Linked DNA regions of Mus musculus. The protein of the gene in region 1 interacts with the protein of each later gene in a biochemical or structural test. Links are inferred from orthologs where the notes say so. Each region holds a gene or a part of one and is shown in the gene's direction. Other genes may lie near its edges. The genes, in order: Prkca and Hmga1b.

What was found.
Region 2: of the proteins of Prkca (region 1) and Hmga1b, one has a biochemical effect on the other in vitro, tested with the Homo sapiens proteins (2 studies listed by BioGRID). The link is inferred for Mus musculus from reciprocal best matches to the Homo sapiens genes PRKCA and HMGA1.

Annotation. Positions count from the first base shown.
Region 1 is NC_000077.6:107,933,712-107,944,407, reverse strand, and holds part of Prkca (protein kinase C alpha type), read left to right. Parts: intron 1-4,727; coding exon 4,728-4,892; 3' UTR 4,893-10,696. UniProt on the Homo sapiens protein: Calcium-activated, phospholipid- and diacylglycerol (DAG)-dependent serine/threonine-protein kinase that is involved in positive and negative regulation of cell proliferation, apoptosis, differentiation, migration and adhesion, tumorigenesis, cardiac hypertrophy, angiogenesis, platelet function and inflammation, by directly phosphorylating targets such as RAF1, BCL2, CSPG4, TNNT2/CTNT, or activating signaling cascade involving MAPK1/3 (ERK1/2) and RAP1GAP.
Region 2 is NC_000077.6:120,758,122-120,768,623, forward strand, and holds Hmga1b (high mobility group protein HMG-I/HMG-Y), read left to right. Parts: upstream 1-4,672; 5' UTR 4,673-4,767; coding exon 4,768-4,869; coding exon of another isoform or gene 4,870-4,902; coding exon 4,903-5,091; 3' UTR 5,092-6,271; downstream 6,272-10,502. UniProt on the Homo sapiens protein: HMG-I/Y bind preferentially to the minor groove of A+T rich regions in double-stranded DNA. It is suggested that these proteins could function in nucleosome phasing and in the 3'-end processing of mRNA transcripts.

The DNA of each region.
Region 1 (10,696 bases):
ATCCACAGGCCAACCTGACCTAGATAATCTCTCATTGAGACTGCCTTCCCAGGTGGTACTAGATCATGTCTAGCTGATGATTAATGATTAAAACTAATAATTTGGGTAGAGATATCAAAAATGACAAAGATTTTAATTCCTTAATGAAGAGATAAGAGAGAAGGCAGATTGCTAATAGCATTTATTCATTCTTCAAATATCATCTATTTGCATGCAGGGCTATTGGTTCATGTTTATATCTTCTCTCTGTATAACGTCTCATCATTTAGAAAGACCTCACACATGCTAGGTCCTTTAGCTCTCACCAGAGCCTTGGAAGGTGGGTGGTCACATCCCCATTTTACCTTTAAAGGGACATGCAATGAAATTCCTAAAGCTACACCTGGGCCTCTTGATCTTTGGCCTGGTCCTTCACTCTGCTGTCCCTCCTCAAGTGTCAGTACTGAGCATTAGACACAAGCTGTTCCCAAGGAGACCAAGGGACCTGCCTGGGTTCACACACCAGCTCCCCATTTCTCTTCTGAGTTTGTCCTGGGTCACATTTCTGACAGAAGTTTCCACTAGTGAAAGTTGTTGGGGGCCTTTGGAGGTGAATATCATGTCTATTCATTCCAGAGGCATTGTTCATAAGATTATTTAGCTGCTTTGAAGGTCTAGTAGACTATATCTCAGAGGTCACAAACAACCCAGATTTGCCTGTTGTTCTAGCTGCTATTGAAGACTGTCCTTTAAATGGCTATAATAATTTTGGGAAAACATCTGCAGCCAAGCCAGCTTCCTATGCCACTCATTAACTTGCTGATCCACAGATGCCACTTGGGTGCCCCCTCCCATCTCTTATTCCCTACACTGCTCCAAGGTGGCAGCTCTCTACCCATCAAATTGATGATCTCAAGGCTGGGTCACAGGCAGTGAACAATAGATTCTTAAATATATTATCTTCTGCACAACCATCCAAAGAAATCTGATTGCTATAATCCTTATCTGGTTTTGCTGGTAGCATTTAAGATCTCTACATAACATCTTTAAATAGTAGTTCAAGATCTTCTCCAGTTTTCCTAAAAGAGATTGTCTGTTTCTGGGCCTGGTTTTGCTTAGAAGCATAGAAAGTTCATTTTTGAGATACTTTTTCTCAGTGTATGATTAATTTATATTTTTTACAATATGAGATTTATGATTAAAATATTTCTGCTGCCTTTTGGGATATCATTCACTCTCATATGACAACAGTCGGAATAAGACAACTTCTGAGTCTTGTATTTCATCTTCAGACTCAACCCCCAGTTTTACAAAGGCTGTTATCCCCATTTCTTGCTAAGTTATAGTCACACCCCTCATTGCTTTTGTTTGAGGGGGGGGGTTGGTTTGGGTTGGTTGGTTTTGATTTTTTTTTTTTTTTGTCTCATGGTTGATATATTTTAATTTCAGTGATTTAATTTTTATTCTCTGAACTCAGCCTGCTCTTTCCTCTGGTCTCTTTACCTAAATTGAGTCAGTTTAAGAAAAGCCTTCATTTGCCATAATATGGTTTCTCTCCCTCTCTCGTTCTCTTTGAGCAATGGAAAATTCCAAGGAAAGTTGGGGTGAGAGAAGAGAAAGGCGTCTGTGGTGGGGAGCAATTCTGAGACTAACAGACACATGGCCTTTCAATGTGACCACAGAGCAGGGATTTAATTTACTGGTGATCCATGTTTTCCCCTTAGCTACATAGTCTTCAGTACTGACACCATGAGGATTCAAAGAGTTTTTCCATCCCATTACAATTTTTGGCTTTATAAGCACTAGCTGCCTTAGCAATAACTTTTCTTGGAATACTAGCTGCCTTAGCAATAACTCTTCTTGGAATAATAGCTGTAGAATTTGATGTGCTCTTCCCACCCCACCTTCCTCAGTGTTCACGTGGATCCTCTTTGTAGGTTTTAAGGACTCTTTGGCAGTAGATCCCATAGTACTAAGAAACTTCTCACTGCAAACTAATTTGTGAGCATCAGAGAGACAGTATTCAAATAAAGGACCACACAACATAAACTTTTCAAAGAACAAATCCATAAATGCAATGCTAGACAGGCAGGCAAATAGAACATTTACCTTGGCTAGCCTTGCTCTGCCTTGTAGAGACACATATTCTCTCTCTCTCTCTCTCCCTCTCTCTCTCTCTCTCCCTCTCCCTCTCTCTCTCTCTCTCTCTCCTTAGAATCTCCTTCTTGCTCTTCTTTGCATTGTCAGTACCAGAAAGTTGACAAATGATGTCTTCTTAAGTGTTCTCATGCCCACCTTCTAAAAGCATCCACAGTAAATGCACTGCACTTGAGTTCTTCCAGGTAGTTGCTACACATCCATCACCAAAAGGGAGTGTTCCTCAAAGCCAACCCTATAGGGCTATATAACATTGCTTACATCATTTTTCTTTGGCCTTCTACAAATTCTCCATGCTCTACTCCCACACATGGTTGCTTTTGCCTAATTTTCATGCTTGGCCCCTTCACACCAACCACAGGACCTCTCATTACAGTCTAGATATATGGAGTCTAGTGTTTTCCAACAGATGCACTATTGATATTTTGAGCCAATAAATATTTAAGGGAATGGGGAAATCATTCATCTTAGGATATTTAGCAGTATCCCCCTCTAACCACTAGTTGACAATGGCATCCCTTGTCCAAGTTATGGCAATTTTATGAAAATGGATTTCCTGGAGGAAAACTTTTACCTGGTTGAAAATCAAGTCTTACCAAAGAGACAACTTTTTCTTTAGATGTTTATATCATTGCAGTAGAGTTGACTGTATTATCTTAATGGAAACCAGCTTCTGTTGTTCATGTGATTTATGAATCAAAAATATAGACTCCTGATTATTTCCTGGGAAGAAACAGCATTTCCTTACTTGCTTCCTACAGAGCCCTTTTCAGTGGTATCCTCTGCATGTGGCTCTGCCTCTGCTGACCTTTGCTTTGAAGTGCTTTGGATTCTTGCAAAGAAAAACATCATGGGAATATACAGTTTGAAAGCCAAAGTTTTGTGGCTCCACATAGAGGAGCCAGACTAAAATGTAGAGGGTGCTTCATAACCTGTATGGACTCCACAGAGTGACTTGAGGACACTCTGTTCCCCACAACATAACAATATAGAAGCCTACCCTAACCATGTATGCACCACACACACACCCAGAGCCACCCCATCACTGAAGTGTAAAATGTCCTTGAGTTCAGAGTACAGTGGCTATTTATTAAATGAAAATGATATTGGGAAAGGACACTGTTGATTTTGAAGACCTTACTTTGAAGTTAGCATATGTTTTCTATCTCCACAGACACTGAGAAGTGTGTTGTATTTACTGCAGGGAAAATGGAAAATTATAATGAAATGGGTTTCTCTAGAAAACCCATTGGGGAAGTAGGTGAGAAAATACAACCCATGAGCATGAAAGATCTTATTTTAAAGAAATAAATAATGTGTGTTGAACTCTGACCAAGCGCACATTAACCTTTGTAGTGTCATGAGGAGGGAGATACAGTTCCTTTCTCAACTCTACAGAACCTCACAGGTTACCTAGAACTGTCCTCTGTTAGAGAGCCAAGAATTCCGCATTAGGTTAAAATGTATGCTGACTTAACATGAGTTCATGTTGCTCCAGTTATGCTACCAGAAGATAAAAGAGTGACGGTTTGCAGCATGCTCTGCATCATTAGTAGCATCAGTAAAACCCCAGTTCTTCCTTGGAAGCCCCAGAGACTTTGATGTGCCACAACCTTTCTAGGTATTTGGAAAAGTGGGGATATTCCTTTCTTTCCTTCCTAAAAGGAGTTTAATGTTTTGCAAGGGCATCATGCAATAAGTGTTGTATAACTCTAAATTGTATAATTGACTACGAGTTGAGTAAGACTCCCATGCACTACTGCATAAGCAGCTGGCTGGTTAGACAATCACAGGGAAGCTATGCCAAAAGCCTCCATTTGCAAAGAATGCCTTGGTGGATCCTAAAGGACGATAATATTCAAGACAGATCACAGACTTTATTGTGCCTCCTCAGGGTACCTGTGCATATCTTCTCCTGTCTTAAAACTATGCTGTGAATGAGCTCCATGTTGACTTGCCTGCCACTTGACCAGCTCTATCCAGTTATGCATAATTCTTGCTTAGGGCAAGAACTCATCCCCTACATTCTCACTGTACCTACCCCATACTGCTTTAAGATTACTCTGAGAGCTAGAGTTTCTAAAACATGCCAGTTACATGTCAAAGACACACAGCTTCTGTCTGATTATAAATATTACTACAAAGAACCAAATATGAGACAGTAACCACACCTTGTCAATTCATGGGTACCTACAGGCACAATCAATAGCATGGCCTTTTCAACATGGAGCTATGACAGATGGCCCTGTGTGTGCATCATTCATGCTAATAGCTCTGCTTGCTCAATGAGGTAATATTGAAGAAAGAGAGGCTGTCTTTTTGCTATGTTGTAAACAACAGTGCATTTCCATTTAGGATTTTCATTCTGAGAATATTCTCAGAATTATCATATGAGAAGAATTACAATCAAGTAACTATCTGTTGTTTGCTATGCTTGGCTTCTGATTCCAGTAGGCCTGTAAATCCTCCAAGAGTCTTCCTGCCCAGCCAGGCCAATTTCCCTGTGGCACACCCTTCCAGGCTCTCAGTAAACGACTTCTGTGATTTGTATCTTCTGACTTTTTCTTTTTTTCTTTTTTTTTCCCCTACAGTGTGGCAAAGGAGCAGAAAACTTTGACAAGTTCTTCACGCGAGGACAGCCTGTCTTAACACCACCAGATCAGCTGGTCATTGCTAACATAGACCAATCTGATTTTGAAGGGTTCTCGTATGTCAACCCCCAGTTTGTGCACCCAATCTTGCAAAGTGCAGTATGAAACTCAAAAATGAAAGATCAAATGCCTCCCCAGCCCCCAGCATCCCCAGCAGTGGGAAATGATCCTTAACCATAAAAATTTAAGGCTATGGCCTTGTATTTTGTTCCACACAGAGGCCTGGAAATTCTAGGGACATTAGTCAATACATGATCAACTTTTTTCCTCACCCCCCAACCAAAAGCATTATCTTAGTGGATGATGACATAAAGTACAGAGTATAGTTTAATTATGTAGAAGTCATGTCAGCTACAAGTTGATTCTTCCTAAAAAAAATCAAAGCGACTTGGACCCTATTTTTTTTGTACGATTTGATATATTCTCCATACTTTCCATTTCTTGGATTTTCACTATCAGAATCGACCAGAGATAGTAAAGTGAACTCACCCTAACTCAAGGAAACTCAAGGAAACACTTCCACCCAAGATGTCTTTGGAACAAAAGAACAGGAAGTCCAAAGAGAAAGCAAAGAGAGGTTGGGGGCTCATATATTCAAGACCACATAGCTTCTATTCTCCTTTTCAATGGAAACAGTCCCTAGACTCAGAGAGGGCAGGATGAACCTGATCACTGTTCCCAGTCATCATAGCACAACCATAGTGCACAGTTTAAGAAGGAAAGAAAACTTCAGACAAATATTCACTGAATCTACCATCTGTAATCCCCTGCTTGGTTGATAACAATCTCTATAACTCATTCTTTTTAAGAGGCCAAATCATCTAAGGACTTTGCTAAACAAGCATGTGAAATCATTTCAGATCAAGGATAAACCATGTGTACGTTCATTCTAATCTCTGGGAGATGACTCTTCAATCCAGGGTGCCATCAGTAATCATGCCACTGTTCACGAGTGTTGTTAGCCAACCCCACACACACAATATTTTGCTACCTTTGTAGGTACCCTTCCTAAGAAGCTGAAATGTATGACCCCATCCCCCCCCCTTTTTTTACTATTTATTTAATAAGCTGCAGTGTCGTTTATGGAAGTACAATGTATAGTAATTTAGTCAAAGTATTGACTAGCCTCAGTCCCTCTAGATTGATTTTCCTCCTTTCTCTCGCCCCACATCCACTTAGAGATGAAAAAGAGCATAGTTTGGGTTCCCATTCTCAGTTCCTATTGAACGGCACATGTGGAACTGTAGGATCAAGATACTTTATGCTGATATCAACTCAAAGATGTTGTCTTGCTAGAAGGATTTTAATATGTTTTGCGAGTGCATCATGCAATGGATTTTGCATGTTTATAATAAACCTTAATAACGAGTTAATCTATATTATTGATATAATTGTATCAACTATAAAGAGTATTATGATAATTTTTATAAGACACAATTGTGCTATATTTGTGACGCTCATGTTTCCAGTCTGCTTTAAGATTAAGTGTTAGCTTTATTCATTGCTGCTGGGCTCTCACCCGCTACTCCACACACTGGCACTCTATCAGATATATTAATTTTTTAATGTAGATGTAATTTTAAAAATGAATGGCTACTTTACACGTTTAACTAGGGTTTTACTATATATGTGTACATATGTATATATATATATATATATATTTGATTCTACCTACAAACCCCGGTTTTGTTTGTGGGGATTATTTTTTGAGATAAGACTCTGTTAACTTCTTCATGTTATCCTCTGTTCAAGTTCCTTTATCACCCCTTCTCTTGGGGACAGCTGAATATATTTAATTCCAGTATTCCTGATATGTTCATATATATGTGGCATTGTTACAGCACCTAGGCTGAATTGTGTGTGTGTGTGTGTCTGTCTGTCTGTCTGTCTGTCTGTCTGGTACTTTTCAGCCTATGTCTTTGGGGTCTCTAGGGATGAAGGGGTGAGAGAACTCCTTTCTGTGTGTGCATATGGACACCCAAAAATATGTAGTCTGTCTTTCTGCCCCAGAATAACTCACTGTGTACTTCAGAACACACAGAATCCTTGAGACAAACTTTATCTCCATGCCTGTGTAGAGCCATCTCTGAAGCTGTTGCCAACAGACTCTCTTCAGAGGCACATACTGTCTTAAAGCGGTTCCTAGAACATTCCGGTCTTTGAAGAGCATGCCTTTGTCCAAATGCCTCCTAATACAAGGTGTTTAGAAGAGGCAGGCTTCTGCAGCATAAAGGATAAGTGAAAAAGGAGTTCCTACCAGTCCTTAGAGAAGGCACCTCTATCGAAATCATCTCACAGCTAGGCTCTCCTCTTTGTTATTCTCCACCTATCTGCTTGACAGTCACATACCCTGCAACCCACCAAGAGTCTTTGAGATACGGAGCATAGGCTGTTCTGAAAATCCCTAATCAGAAGGAGATATGGAGTCGAGAGTGGGCCAAACCAGAAAAGAGCAGTTTCTTCTGCAATCTTTCATGAATTCTGGACTTCAGACCTCAAAAAGTGGGGAAGGGTGTCATATATGGATCTCAGAAGTCAAGTTCACCATCTTGGTAACCTAGCCTTATCAAAAACACTGTACTCAGTCCAACTGTAAAGGAACTGGCTTATCAATGAGCCTTGGAAGTGAAAGCATTGCTCTTCCCAGGTGGGACAGCAACAGGAAGCTGAACCTCTCAAAGTGGGGGAAACCACAGAGAAGGAGCACAGGGTTCGTAGACAATCCACCCTGAGGTGCCAAGCTGCCTGACTCTCATGCCAGTAGCAGGCTTGGGTTCTTCCTTAAACCGCCAGCATCCAGCTCCGAGTGATTCAACTTCTCTAGAAAATGTGTGCGGTTCCTTGGATGGCTTGTACGCTTAGAGAATACCCACCAACATTCTCACACTGGAGGAGGGAAATAACAGAGCCACAGACCAGCAATTGCCTAAGGAACAGAACACTGGAGAACAAACTTAGGAGAGATGATAAAAATTTAAGGACGTGTTCATGATGCTGCCTATTCTATACACTGCTGAGGGTTAAATTCAGATGAAGGCTAGTACTTTAAAGATCTGGACAGCAGAGACAACTTTTGCTACAAAACTAACTCACCTGGATAACCACTAGCAGCTGTTAGGCAGGATCAATTGATACTATTCTACATCCTTGTCCCACTTCACAGACCTTGTATGAAACAGGGCTACAGGGAAACATCTGCCATTTGAACTGAAGCAACCAAGCAGGAGGCCAGAACCAGGAGGGTGCCTTGAAGGGTTTAATCCCCAGGGGCAGGGGTGGGAACTATTTAGAATGTACCTGCTCTCAGGCTGTGCCTGCATTGGCAGGGTCTGTGGAGGAGAACCTAGCACAATCCAAGTCTCCACAGGGACCCATCAGGCCGTGACCCAGAAAATCCATTGAAATAATTTTGTATTATATTCCCCTGGAAGGTGGCCATTTCCCAGGAGCAGCTCTTCCCTGTTCCACCACAGGCCGGTGGGCTGCTAGCTCTGCCTTCAGTGTGGCATCTAAAGTTACCTGGTGCTTGGGTTGAATGGAAAGAGCTGGAGTATGCTGCCAGGTGCAGCCCCAGGAGTTAATGGGAGGCTTACCCCAGGCAGCAGCTAATTCAGAAGGCAGAAGAGAAGCCCCAGGAGCTAAACTGATTGCCCTTCACCCTCCTACCTCTGTGGCCTAGTTTGAGCTAGTAGCCTTTTCTTTAATTTAGTCTTTTTTATTAGTAATTTGAGAAACTCAGGAGGCCCAGAGTTTTCCGGAAGCTTGGTCTGAGATGGTCACGTGAAAGATTACCAGAGGCCAGTATTAACCCTCAAATGTTGCTGCTCACAAGCTCCAGTTCTTAGCAAATAAATCATGGTGGCTTGCCAACCCCAAAAGAGCCACTCATCGATGTATCACAAAGAGGAGGAAGCAGAAGTCAACACCATTAAAGAGCAGGGTTTGAGTGCACCCAGGAAGACATGGAAGGTGGTGGAAAGGTTGTGTTAATCTGCATGGGCTTTCCACTGGGGGTCATTGTGCAAATGGAAGTTACTGTTCATCAGCCTTCAAAGGTGTGGCTTTTTGCCAGATACAACCTTTTGTTCGTTCTCAGACTCTCCCAACTGTAACAAGTCCTTTGCCCAGAGCCGAGCCAGCCAGCAGACCCTAGAAGCACTTAGTTCCATCTTTATCCCTCTGATAATTATGGCTGCTGAGACTAGGTCCAGAAGTCACGAAAACAACCAACAACGACCTGCCAGCTTCTGCTCAGCAGAGAAAAATAGGAAGGGTTTGTGCAGGGCTTTATTTTCTCAAACGCCTCCACAAGGCAACACCACCTGACAGTCATTTTCTCACCTTGGTCTTATGAAATCATCTATTTCTTGTGTGTACATGTCACGCTGTTTCCTGTTTGTTTACAACCCTAGAAGGGTAGGGTTACCTGTCCCCATGCCACGGCTGAGCACATCAGTCACTCTCAGGAGATGCGTGCTGAGCCAGGGACCTGAAAGGATGCTGACCATGGGGGGTTGGGGGGACAATAGCAAGGAAGGAGACAGGTCCTCTGGTTAGCAGTGGGTCCACACTAACATGACAGAGTGTTAGGAAACTGGTTTTAAAATTGTTTTCCATGAACTGCTGTTAACAAAATGTGCTGGACAGTCAACACCCCTGCCACATCTCACTGGGCCAGCGTAGCAAATCTAGAAGAAGCAGATACTTTCTGCTGTCAGAATAATCCAGAAAATCAGGAAAGGGTGCTTGAGGCATGCACAGACACAGTGTTCTAGAAACGGTGTCTAATGCTGTCCCAGGGATGATACAGCAATGGTTAAAAAGTGTGGTTGGCTCAGCATTCGTGTGGTCAGGTGTCAGTCAATGAACAGAAGACACACCAGGTTGTTAAACAGCCTTACTGTGACCCTCCTCAGAAGCCCACAAGTTCCAAAGACTTTTTTTAACCTAAAACAAGAAATTAACTTATTAACTCCAAGAGAGTACCTGGGTATCCTGGGCTATTTGTACTTTTTTATAGAGGACTTTAATAACTCAATTCTTTTCAAGTGAGTTTTTAAAATAATAAAAATTTCATAAATTTCCAATTCCATGCAACTTATAGGAGGATTTCACCCAGGTTGGATAGAGCACCCACGATCTGCATTCCCACAGCGGGATTTTCCCGTGCTAGTGAGGTCTGGAGTCCACATTGGATTGGCTGGCATTTCCTAGCAGACACTAAAGATAGCTGTGCAAGGTTTAGCTATCGCTCAACTGTGGGGATGACGGCTTTATAGCTCCCCTTCCTGATACAGCCCCCGGAAAGGATTCTTGGGGATCTACAGGACCCCACTCTTCACTGTAAGAGTCAGAGCAGGAAGGGGGTGCTTCTTCAACTCTGGCTCAAGTCCCCTCTGGTCTCTCAGTCTCTCGCATTTGATTAAAATGGAGAGATGCCCTCTAAGGATTCTGCCCACTGGGCAATTCAAGCCTCCTACCCCGAGAAGAGACAGCGCTGAGTGTGCCTGGGCATCTGCGTCCATGCCCATGGATGTGAGTAGACAGAACCCTACTTTTGAGAAAACGCCTATCCAGCCCACTTTGTAAGAACCCCCTTTTTCTAAACTATGACAAAAGGCGGCTTTGCACTTTCTGATCAAACAACACTGTCTTTTGTCTCCTGCTTAACTTTTAAGACTATTCTGTGACCGACGTTTGTAGATTTTTTTTTTTGTTAATATTTTGCCTGGAAAAATGTGACTCTCTCCTTGGGAGGTTTAGTAGACTAATAAAAATTATACATGAAGGTGGTTGCTATTTTGAGGCTAAAGGTTTTTCTAAGAATCGCCCTCGTATCCTGACCGTGAAGGCTTTTCAGGATACCTTTTATAGACGATCAGATGCATTCGAGCTGTGTTTCCTACATG
Region 2 (10,502 bases), about 13 Mb from region 1:
TCATGGTCACATGTACTTTGAAAAAGAGTAGTTAAGGGCAGTGGCTGCTCTTCCAGAGGACCTGGGTTCGATTCCCAGCACCCATATGGCAGCTCACAACCATCTGTAATTTGAGTACACAGATATATAGATAGACAAAACACTCCACACATAAAATAATAAATAATAAGCCTGAAGGAGTAAAGATATTCTGCTGGTCCTTGACTACCTGCTCAGAGCTGGCACAAGGCTCCCCACCCCTGGCTGTGGGCAGAAAGATAGTTTACCTGATACAAGAGATTGCTACTCAGCCTGGCTACAGGGTGGACAGAACCAAGCCTTTCCTAACGTTATACTCTGACCTTCATGTGTGCTTTGGTATGTGTGTACCACATTACCCCCTCCACACACATGCACACTAAATAACTAGATATGTTAACGCCTTCCAAAGCATTAAATAAGTAAATCCCACAGATGTTCAGGACACTACCAATTGGGATGTCCCTACTGTGGTCAGAACTAGGGTGCTGCCTCTGGACGCTTAACATGCAAAGGGAATGGTGCTGTTTAAGGCTTTTTGGATCATGGAAAATTATAAACATGATTTTAAGAAATTTTTTACGTTAATTTTGAATTTTTTTTTGAGACAAGGCCTCTCTATATAGACTAGGATGACCCCAAACACATAGAGATCTGCCTATGCCTGCCTCCCTAGTGTTTGCCTTAAAGAAATGTGCTATTATTTATTTTGATTTGATGTGCATGAGTGTTTTTTCAGCTTGTATATTAGTGGGCCACATGCATGCAATGCCTATGGAGAGCAGAAAAGAGCTTTATCTCCTGGGACTGGAGTTACAGATGGTTGTGAGCTGCCATGTGGGTGCTGGGAACTGAACCCTGGTCCTCTGCAAGAACAGCAAATGCTCTCACCATGGAGCCTTCTCTCCAGCTCCCATGTACAGGGCTGTAGACTGTCATTGTCCTTATGCCTACACACACACACACACACACACACACAAAATACCTGTCAGTGCCAGTTCTGTTGGCCCAAGGGAAAGAGAAGACACACACATGGTCCAGGCTGCAGCCCATGCTGCTTTGCCATCTGGCAAGTTTTGGCAGACAGCCTGTCAAAGGACATGGCTTCAGTCAGCTCCAAGCACAGTCCACTCATGGTTTGATGATTGTGTGTAGGAGTGGTGTCTTAGTTACTTCTCTGTTGCCACGACCAGGGCAACTCATAGAAGAAAATATTTCATTGGGGGATCATGGTTCCTGAAGGTTAGTTTCCATGACCATCATGGAATGAAGCATGGTGGCAGACAGGCAGGCATGGTGCTGGAGCAGCAGCTGAGAGCTTACATGTGATCCACAGATGGCAGAGAGAGAAAAAGCCACCTGGGAATGAGGTGGGTTTTTGAAACCTCAAAGCCTACCAGCAGTGACACACCTCTTCCAGTGAGGCCACACCTCCTAATCCTTCTCAGACAGTTCCACCAACTGGAGACCAAGCTTTCAACTACGAGCCTGTGGGGACCATTCTCATATAAATCACCAGTAGTGGGATTGAGACAGGGTATTGCTATGTAGCTCTGGGTGGCCTAGGACTCACAACATAGACCAGGCTGGCCTCAAACTTAAAGCTATGATTCTGACTCCAAGGGCTGAAATTGTAGGTGGGAACCACTACACTCTGCGACACTAGGTTTTTTCTGTTTTTTGTTTTTTGTTTTTTTTTAAGATTTATTTATTATTATTCATTAGTACACTGTAGCTGTCTTCAGATGCACCAGAAGAGGGTGTCAGATCTCATTACGGATGGTTGTGAGCCACCATGTGGTTGCTGGGATTTGAACTCAGGATCTTCGGAAGAGCAGTCAGTGCTCTTAACCGCTGAGCCATCTCGCCAGCCCCCGACACTTGGTTTTAATGTCTGTGTGTATCTGCACAGGTGTGAGCATGTCTGCTGCCAGATGCACGTGTGTGCACTCATGATTGGAGGCCAAAAGGTTAATGTCAGTTTTCTTGCTGGGTCTAGTTTCCCCTAAACTCCTCCCAAAGGCCTTTCCTTCTGTTGTTCGACAAAACTTTTCCTGGAGAGACACAACATGCATATCCACGCTCTCCATTAGGTAGCCCATAAAAGACCAGTGTACAGACACCACCGGAAGCTTGGTGAGCCATGAGATTTATTGGGGTTACCTATGGGAGTATTGGTGAGGAATTTCTTACAGGATCAGATGGCATTCACTGTAGCTCAGCTCCAGTGACAGCTCACAAAGACTGGAAACCTGGAGCACAATTCATAGCCTGAATGCAGCTCAACAGGTGGGAGAGTATCTCTTTCATGTGGTTTAGTTGGTCTAAACCTCTTGTAGGTTGTGGGGTAAGTGGGTGCGGCCGCAGGCCACGTCAAACCCACTTGTTTACTGCCTTGCCCGAGCATGCGCAGTGAGGCTGCATGCGTGGGCTGCCTGCCAGGCTGGACAGTTCCTCGTGATCCAGACCTGTCAGCCTATCTGTGAACGACCTAAGCTCGTGCCTGGAGAGAGAGAGAGAGAGAGAGAGAGAGAGAGAGAGAGAGAGAGAGAGTGTGTGTGTGTGTGTGTGTGTGTGAATTCTGATTGATTGGATGATGTGGGGTGGAGCTAGAAGGAGGAGTCGGCGTGAGTAGTGAGAAGAGTTTAGCCCTTGCTGCAAGAAAGATGGAGTAGTAAAAGCTGCTGTTGTAAGTGGTAGAAGCTAGCAATTGTAAAAGAAGCCAGTAGTAGTGAAGAGAGTTTTTTAGCCCTTGCCCTAGGTATGTGGGAAGCCACATGTGCCGTTGCAGAGTGGCACTGACTACTGCTGGCCACCACGCATAAGTTTGGACAAACAACCAATGTGTACATATGCAGTAAAGTTTTTTGCAAAGACACTGCCTGGCCCGGGCATGATAATGAGGTTCTGTAAGGTACTGAGAGTATAACCAATCAGATGTGAGACATGCAAATGAGGTATGATAATGAGGCTCTGTGAGGTACTGAGAGAGAGTAGCCAATCAGATGAGGAACATGCAAATGAGGCGTAGTGCATAACCAATCCAGGTGTGAGACACGCCTCTCCTAGGCCTATAAAAGCAGCACCAGTTCTGGGCTCGGGGTCTTTTCACCTCTGCAATCAAGCTCTCCCAATAAACGTGTGCAGGATCCTGTTGCAGCGTCATTCTTGCTGGTCGAGTCCGGCGCACGCAAGATAGGTAGAAGCCAGAAGTAGTGAATAAGAGTAGTTTTAGCCCTTGCCGTGAGTAGTAGTAGAGTAGTGAGTAGTTTAGCCCTTCCCCTAAGAAGAAGCTGCTGGGGAAGAGAGCTGTAAAAGAAAGAGCCTGAAGTAAAGATGTTGCTGCATGAACCCGACTTGGTGCCTGTGTCGTTCTTGTCACCACCGGCTCGGAGTGGAGATGACGACAGTAGGTAGGTAACTCAGCTGACTTTTGCGTCTTCTGGGCTCTGATCTGCAGTCTTTCTTCTTTGCTGCTTGGTTTGTCTGAGAGAGACTCTCAGCTTTTGTTGCTTACCCTGACAGCAAGGGATCTTGTGAAATTGGTCAGTTTCAGGAACTTCCTGAAACTATATGAGTTGTTTGCATCCCTACTTAAGGAACTTCCATGCAGGATGGGGTGTTTTAATTTCAAAGGAAACTGTTATACAACAGTCCTCACATAATGTTGTAGTTAGGGCTCAGCACATGACTCTGGATAGAGAAGTCTTCAGACAACATAGGTGACAGGAGATAGAGCAGGAGCTGTGGAGGGTGAAGACATCTTAGGAGAAATGCGCTCCTAAGGGCGAAGCTAGCAGATGACTGTCTTCCCAAGACGTTGGAGCTTGATGCTCCCTTCCTGGTAAACCACTTCCTCCTGCCTGGTGGCCAACTGGCATCCCTGAAAGGCCACCATTTCCCAGGAGTTCCGATGGCCACCAGACAGCAGGTTGGTCACAATCCACAGCTTTTGTCATAGAAGGGGAAGGGCTTTGATCTTACTGGATAGATCAGGCCAGACACCAGTATTCAGTGCCACCTGGAGGTTGGCTATAGGACTTGGTGGTTTGCTCAGACTGGGATCAAGGACACAGTGAGCAGGCATGATCTGTCCCTGTTAGCTATGAGGAAACTGCCAGGCAGCAGCAAATGATTGGGCTCCGGGCCCCCACTGTGTATGCTGTCCCCTGAGCCACAGGAAGGTCCCAGAGCACCCTTCTGACCAGTGCGGAGGAATGCTCAGGGGAAGGGTACTGCTGTCCCTGCACTATAGAGCACTGGAAGTACAGCTGCCTCCTTTCAGCGACTCACACGGTCTCAGTGCAGAGCCTGGACTGAGCAAGGGAAAGGCGGCAGTCTGAGCACACCTCCTCCCCAGGGCTGTCCATGAGGCATCTGAGCCTCCTGCCCGGCCCAGATGTCGTGTGACCTGCTATGACTCACTGGATCGTGAGTACTTGTTCCATGAACCCTGACACACAAGACAAGAGACCCTCAGCACACCTCAAACAATCGCCAGACACGGGTTGAGGTGCACAATATTCTCTGATTACTCCTAACTGGCTCCAAAGAACCAGGTCTCTGCTCAGAGAAGAGGAGATGCACAGAGGTACTCAGGGTTTGCAACTGGGGCAGGAAACCCCAGAATCCATGCTTAGATTTACAAGAGTCGCCTCTAATTGGGACTCCGAGTCGGGGCTATTTCTGGTGTTGGCGCGGCTCCAAGAAGGCACTCACTGTGTGCTGCCCCACACATAGAGAAGGAGAATGAGCGAGTCGGGCTCAAAGTCCAGCCAGCCCCTGGCCTCCAAGCAGGAAAAGGATGGGACTGAGAAGCGAGGCCGGGGCAGGCCACGCAAGCAGCCTCCGGTGAGTCCTGGGACGGCGCTGGTCGGGAGTCAGAAAGAGCCCAGTGAAGTGCCAACTCCGAAGAGACCTCGGGGCCGACCAAAGGGAAGCAAGAATAAGGGCGCCGCCAAGACCCGGAAAGTCACCACAGCTCCAGGGAGGAAACCAAGGGGCAGACCCAAGAAACTGGAGAAGGAGGAAGAGGAGGGCATCTCCCAGGAGTCCTCTGAGGAGGAGCAGTGATCACCACTCGCAGTGCCGCCTGCTCCATAGCCACTGAGGAGCAGCTGTCCCCTGGGACTGGAAGCCCTGCTCCCAGGCCCCTCCCCGCCCCCACTGCACACTACCGCACCAGGCACCAGCTGCAGGCTCTGCTCCGCAGCACCCAAGGGAGCAGGATTCGGCTCAGTCCCTGTGCCCTCCTCCCGAACACACCTGCCCCATCCTGACAAGGCTAACTTCCCATTTAGCCGCAGCCCGGCCTGCTGCGCACCTCCCTCAGAGCCGTGGCTCTCTGGGCGCTTTGTTTTGCGGGTCCCTTCTGCCCTGCTGTTCCTGGCTTCCCCGTAGAGGGTCCTGGGAGCATTCCCTGGCCTTAAGGGGCCCCGGCCCCATCTCACTCTGACAAGGCCCAGTGGCTGACCTAGCAGCAGCAGTGTGGTCAGGGCAGGGGATGCTTAGATCCCAGCATGTCCCCACCAAAGTATCACCGGGTGGGTTTCTCAGCCCCTCCTGCCCCACCCTACAGAGATCATGCACTGGGTTGGCTGAGCCCCTTGACAACAGGAAGTAGGATGATGTTGGCTCCACCCACTTTAATGTTCTCACCTGAGACTAGACAGATGGGGTTACCGCCCATCTCCAGAGTAAGGGCCTGTTCTCGCCTCCACCAAAGGCAAACGGGCACCAACACGCCTCCCCCAGTCCACTCTAGGCTGTTCCTTCCTCCCGCAGGGCACTAAGGAGCTAGCCTTGCCGCCCCCTCCTTTTCGCTCCTCCCTGCCCCCCATGGTTCTGGTTCCATCTTCTCCTCTGTTCACAAACTACCTCTGGACGGTTGTGTTGTTTTTTTTTTGTTCCATGTTCATTCTTAGATACCCACTATTGCTGCTGCTACCAGCGTCAGATGTTCATCCTCCTGAATTTGCCTGTATTCTCTCCCCCACACAATACACTCGAGGGGAAGGGGGGCTGGGGCGCAGCAGACTGGTTACCTACCCCACACTAAGGAAGATGGGGCCCCACCCCGTGGATGCTGCAGCAGAGTGAGGATGGGGGCCCACTTTGATGGGAAAAGGGTGTAGGGCCACCTCCCCTTGTTCTGTGGGGGAGGGGTGGCCAGTATTTGTCCCAGCCTGGGGCTTCCTCCCTGGTTTCTTATTTGCAGTTACTTGAATAAAAAACAAATAGCCTTTTCTGGACAGTCAAAAAAAAAAAAAAAAAAAAAAAAGATTTACAAGAGTCCTGCCTCAAAGTAAAGACGGTGCCTCAGTGTCTCTGCCAAAGGCGGAGTTCCTGGCTGGTACGGGGCAGCAGGTGAGGGGCACCTGGGAGGAACAGATTGAGGGGAACAGCCAGGGGACTCTCTAGACACACTGCAGGCATGGTGGGTTCTTGGGTCCCTGGGCATTGGAATCCAGTGTGCCTGCTCCAGCTAGATCACATCACTACCTTCATTTATAACAACAAAACAAAAAGTCCCAAGCTGATGCTTCTGTCCAGATAATTCCAAACCCAGCAATCTCACTGCCCTGGGCCGAGGGTGTGGCTCACATCACCGAGCATCACTGATGGGGCACCGTTGGCTTAGTATGCTCTCAGGCCCTGGGTTCAAGACTCCACATCTCATTGCTGAAAATTCAGATTCCTTCTTTAGGTTGCCCCTTCCTTCCCGCTACACTGCTGTGTCAGACCCTCTCACAGGCACATGTGTGTGCACACATGCTTCCACTGCTTTGTCAGACGTTCTACATGTGTGTGCACACTTCTTCTCATTGGCTCGTTTTGTTTTGTTTTGGTTTGGTTTTTTGTTTTTCGAGACAGGGTTTCTCTGTATAGCCCTGGCTGTCCTGGAACTCACTCTGTAGACCAGGCTGGCCTCAAACTCAGAAATCTGCCTGCCTCTGCCTCCCAAGTGCTGGGATTAAAGGCGTGCGCCACCCCCACCCGGCTCTCATTGGCTCTTTAAGTCCCGCACGAGCAGCTGATTGGCACTTCTGAGGAGCAAGGAGGGCTGCCAGGAGGGAGCAGAATGTCTGCCCCAACCCTGCCCCACTCACTAGTTCCATCTTAACAACCTTAACCCTCCCCTTACTGCAGGAGGACACTGGTGTCAGTAGCATGAAGCTGAATTTCAGTGGGCTGAGGGCCCTGGTGACAGGGACAGGGAAAGGTGAGTGTGAGCAGGGAAGCAGGTGAGTGTGAGCGGGGAAGTAAGATGAATGTGAGCAGGCAAGTGAGGTCAGTGTGAGCAGGAAAGTGGAGAGAGTGTGAACAAGGAAGTGGGGTGAGAGTGAGCAGGAAAGGTGAGTGTGAGCGGGGAAGTGAGATGAGTGTGGAAAGGTGAGTGTGATCAGGGGAAGGTGTGTGAGTGAGGAAAGGTGAGTGTGAGCGGGTGGGGAGTTGGACTGGAAAGAGGAAGGAGGCCAGCCTCAGCATTGTCCCCTGGCCAGAGACCTGCTGCCCACCAGGTCAGATTGCCAGCCTCTCCTTGGCTACCACGTGCTCCACTCTGAAGGACAAGCTGGGCTCGGCATCAAGGCAGTTCCTAGGTCCAGGCTGGGAAGATGGGCACTAGTCACCCTTCTCTGGGACACCATCATGAGCATGAGGGGACTGTCTTCTTTGACCTGATACCAGTCTGTCTGGCCTCTGACAAGGGGATAGTCCTACCTCACCCTGGCTTACAGCCTTTTGGTCAGCACACTTGCGCTGCTTGGAGCAACAGTCTTTACTTAACCCTTCCAGGACCCAGATCCTTCTGTAACCAGGCCTACAAGGCCCTTGTTCCACCATTCTCCTACAGGGAATAGACAGTGTACTGTGAAGGCCCTGCATGCCTCAGGAGCCAAAGTGGTGGCTTTGACTCGGACCAACGCAGACCTGGTCAGCCTTTCAAAGAGTTAAGGCACAGAGACTGCCATGGCTGGGGCCTGTTCTCCACCCTCAAGAATACATTAGAAGCTGGCTGAGACAATGTCTCAGGCCACCAATGTCCCCCACAGTGTCCTGGGATAGAGTCCGTGTGTGGACCTGGGTGACTAGGAGGTCACATAGAAGGAGCTGGGTGGTATCGGCCCTGTGGACTTGCTGGTGAACAACACAGGGGTGGTGCTGATGCAGCCTTTTATAGAGTCTACAAAGGAGATCTTTGACAGGTGGGCCCTCAGGGAGAGCAGGCAGGCTGGGGAGGGTCACTGAAGATGGCTGGCTCAGTAGGCTGATAGTCCCCTTCTGCTAGGTCCTTCATTGTAAATGTGTGTGCTGTTCTGCAGGTGTCTCAGGTGAGGAGACAGGAGGGCTGTGGCCCAGATGCAAACCTGGAGAGGGTGGGGTGGGATAATGCATATGTTTGCCCTAAACTCTTGACTTCCAGATGGTAGCCTGAGGCATGATTAACTGTGGAGTGGCAGGATCCATTGTTAACATCTCCAGCTTGGTGGCCTATGTCACCTATCCTGACCTGACCACCTACTGTGAGTGCATTGTGGTAGGAACAGGAGTAGGTTCTGTGTGGTCCTCCCAGAAGGAGGACTGAATAACTGAGGGGTCCTCAACACTCACACACATCCACAGGCTCCACCAAGGGCACATTAACTATGTTGACCAAAGCCATGGCCATGGAACTAGGGCCACACAAGGTAGGCACAGGGGGCCGGGCCACACCTGAGGGACAGGCGATGGGCACCTGGGGCAGGGCTGGGGGTTGAGGGTGAGGACTATAGAAGGCTCTGAGCACTGGGCTCAGGGTTCATCTGGACAGAGTAAGCAAGCTCATCAGGCCGGTCCTGGGGCGGCGAGTCCTGAGCTGGGCAGGTAGGGCTCCTTCCTCAGCTGTGCCACCAGCTGTGGCTTCTGGCCCCAGATCCGGGTAAACTCCGTAAACCCCACTGTGGTGCTGACTGACATGGGCAAGAAAGTCTCTGCAGACCCTGAGTTTGCCAGGAAGCTCAAGGAGCGCCACCCACTGAGGAAGTTCGCAGGTCAGCTGGGGACAGTGGGTGAGGGGAACTATGTGGTTTGTCAGCAGCCAAGCAAGGGAGAGAGCCTTGACTGGTCTGTTCTCCTGCAGAGGTTGAAGACGTCATCCAACAGCATCCTCTTCCTGCTCAGCGACAGAAGTGCCTCTACCAGTGGCGGTGGCATCCTGGTGGATGCTGGCTACCTGGCCTCCTAGTCTGCCCAGATGGCACCTACAGACCCCTGGAGACTTCCCTGGATCCACTCTCACACCACACCTCTGCCTTCAACCCAGGTCATCAGCTCTGCTTCTACCCTGTGGATCTACCCCACATCCATCCCCACCCTCAGGTCCAGGATCTCCCATCCTCTGTATCAGCTAGGCTGGGCTGATTTGCTTAAATAAATGGACCATAGTTTCTGTCTTAGTCAGGGTTTGTAGTCCTGCACAAAACATCATGACTAGAAAGTAAGCTGGGGAGGAAAGGGTTTATTCAGCTGACACTTCCACGTTGCTGTTCATCACCAAAGGAAGACAGGACAGGAACTCGCACAGGACAGGAACTTGGAGGCAGGAGCTGATGCAGAGGCCATGGGTGGACGCTGCTTACTGGATTGCATCCCCTGGCTTGCTCAGCCTGCTTTCTTATAGAACCCAGGACTACTAGCCCAGGTGTGGCACCACCCACAATGGGATGGGCCCTTCCATCCTTGATCACTAATTGAGAAAATTCTTTACAGCTGGATCTCATGGAGGCACTTCCTCAAGAGAGGCTCCTTTCTCTGTGATAACTCCAGCTTGTGTCAAGTTGACACACAAATCCAGCCAGTACAGTATCCCAAATCCTGAAAGCACACACCTGGTGCACTGTGGAAGCAGTGTTGTATGGTCATCTGTGCATTTACACGACCCATTGTTTTGTGCAGAATGCCTGGGTGGAGAGATTACATAGGTGCCCCTAGTTCCCCCTTTGGATCCTGCTGCTGCCTCTTGTCTATCACCTCCTCCAGGCCTGTGTCAGTGACCATGGCCTGGAAACCCCAGGTTTATGGTGGCCCTGCATGACCTGGGATTGGGATACAGACAGTTGGCTCTTTAAAAAGGAGGGGTATACAGTCAAACAATATGTGAAACTGTTTGTCAGGGTTAGTGGCTGAACAGAAGTGGGAGTAACACAAGGATCCCCTTACACAAGGAAGTGGTTTTTCAAAGTGCATGGGATTGATCCAACTACAGAGAGTGGAGTCTGTTTAGTCAACCTTTGTCCTGGCTGCTCCTATGGCAACTTGACACAGGCTAGAGTCATCAGAGAGGAAGGAGCCTCAGATGAGAAAATGCCTCCATGAGATCCAGCTGTAAGATTAGCATTTCCCTAATGAGTGATTGATAGGGGAGGGAACAGCCCATTGTGGTGCCATCCCTGGGCCAGTGGTCCTTGGTTCTACGAGAAAGCAACCCAAGGGAAGCAGTGGTG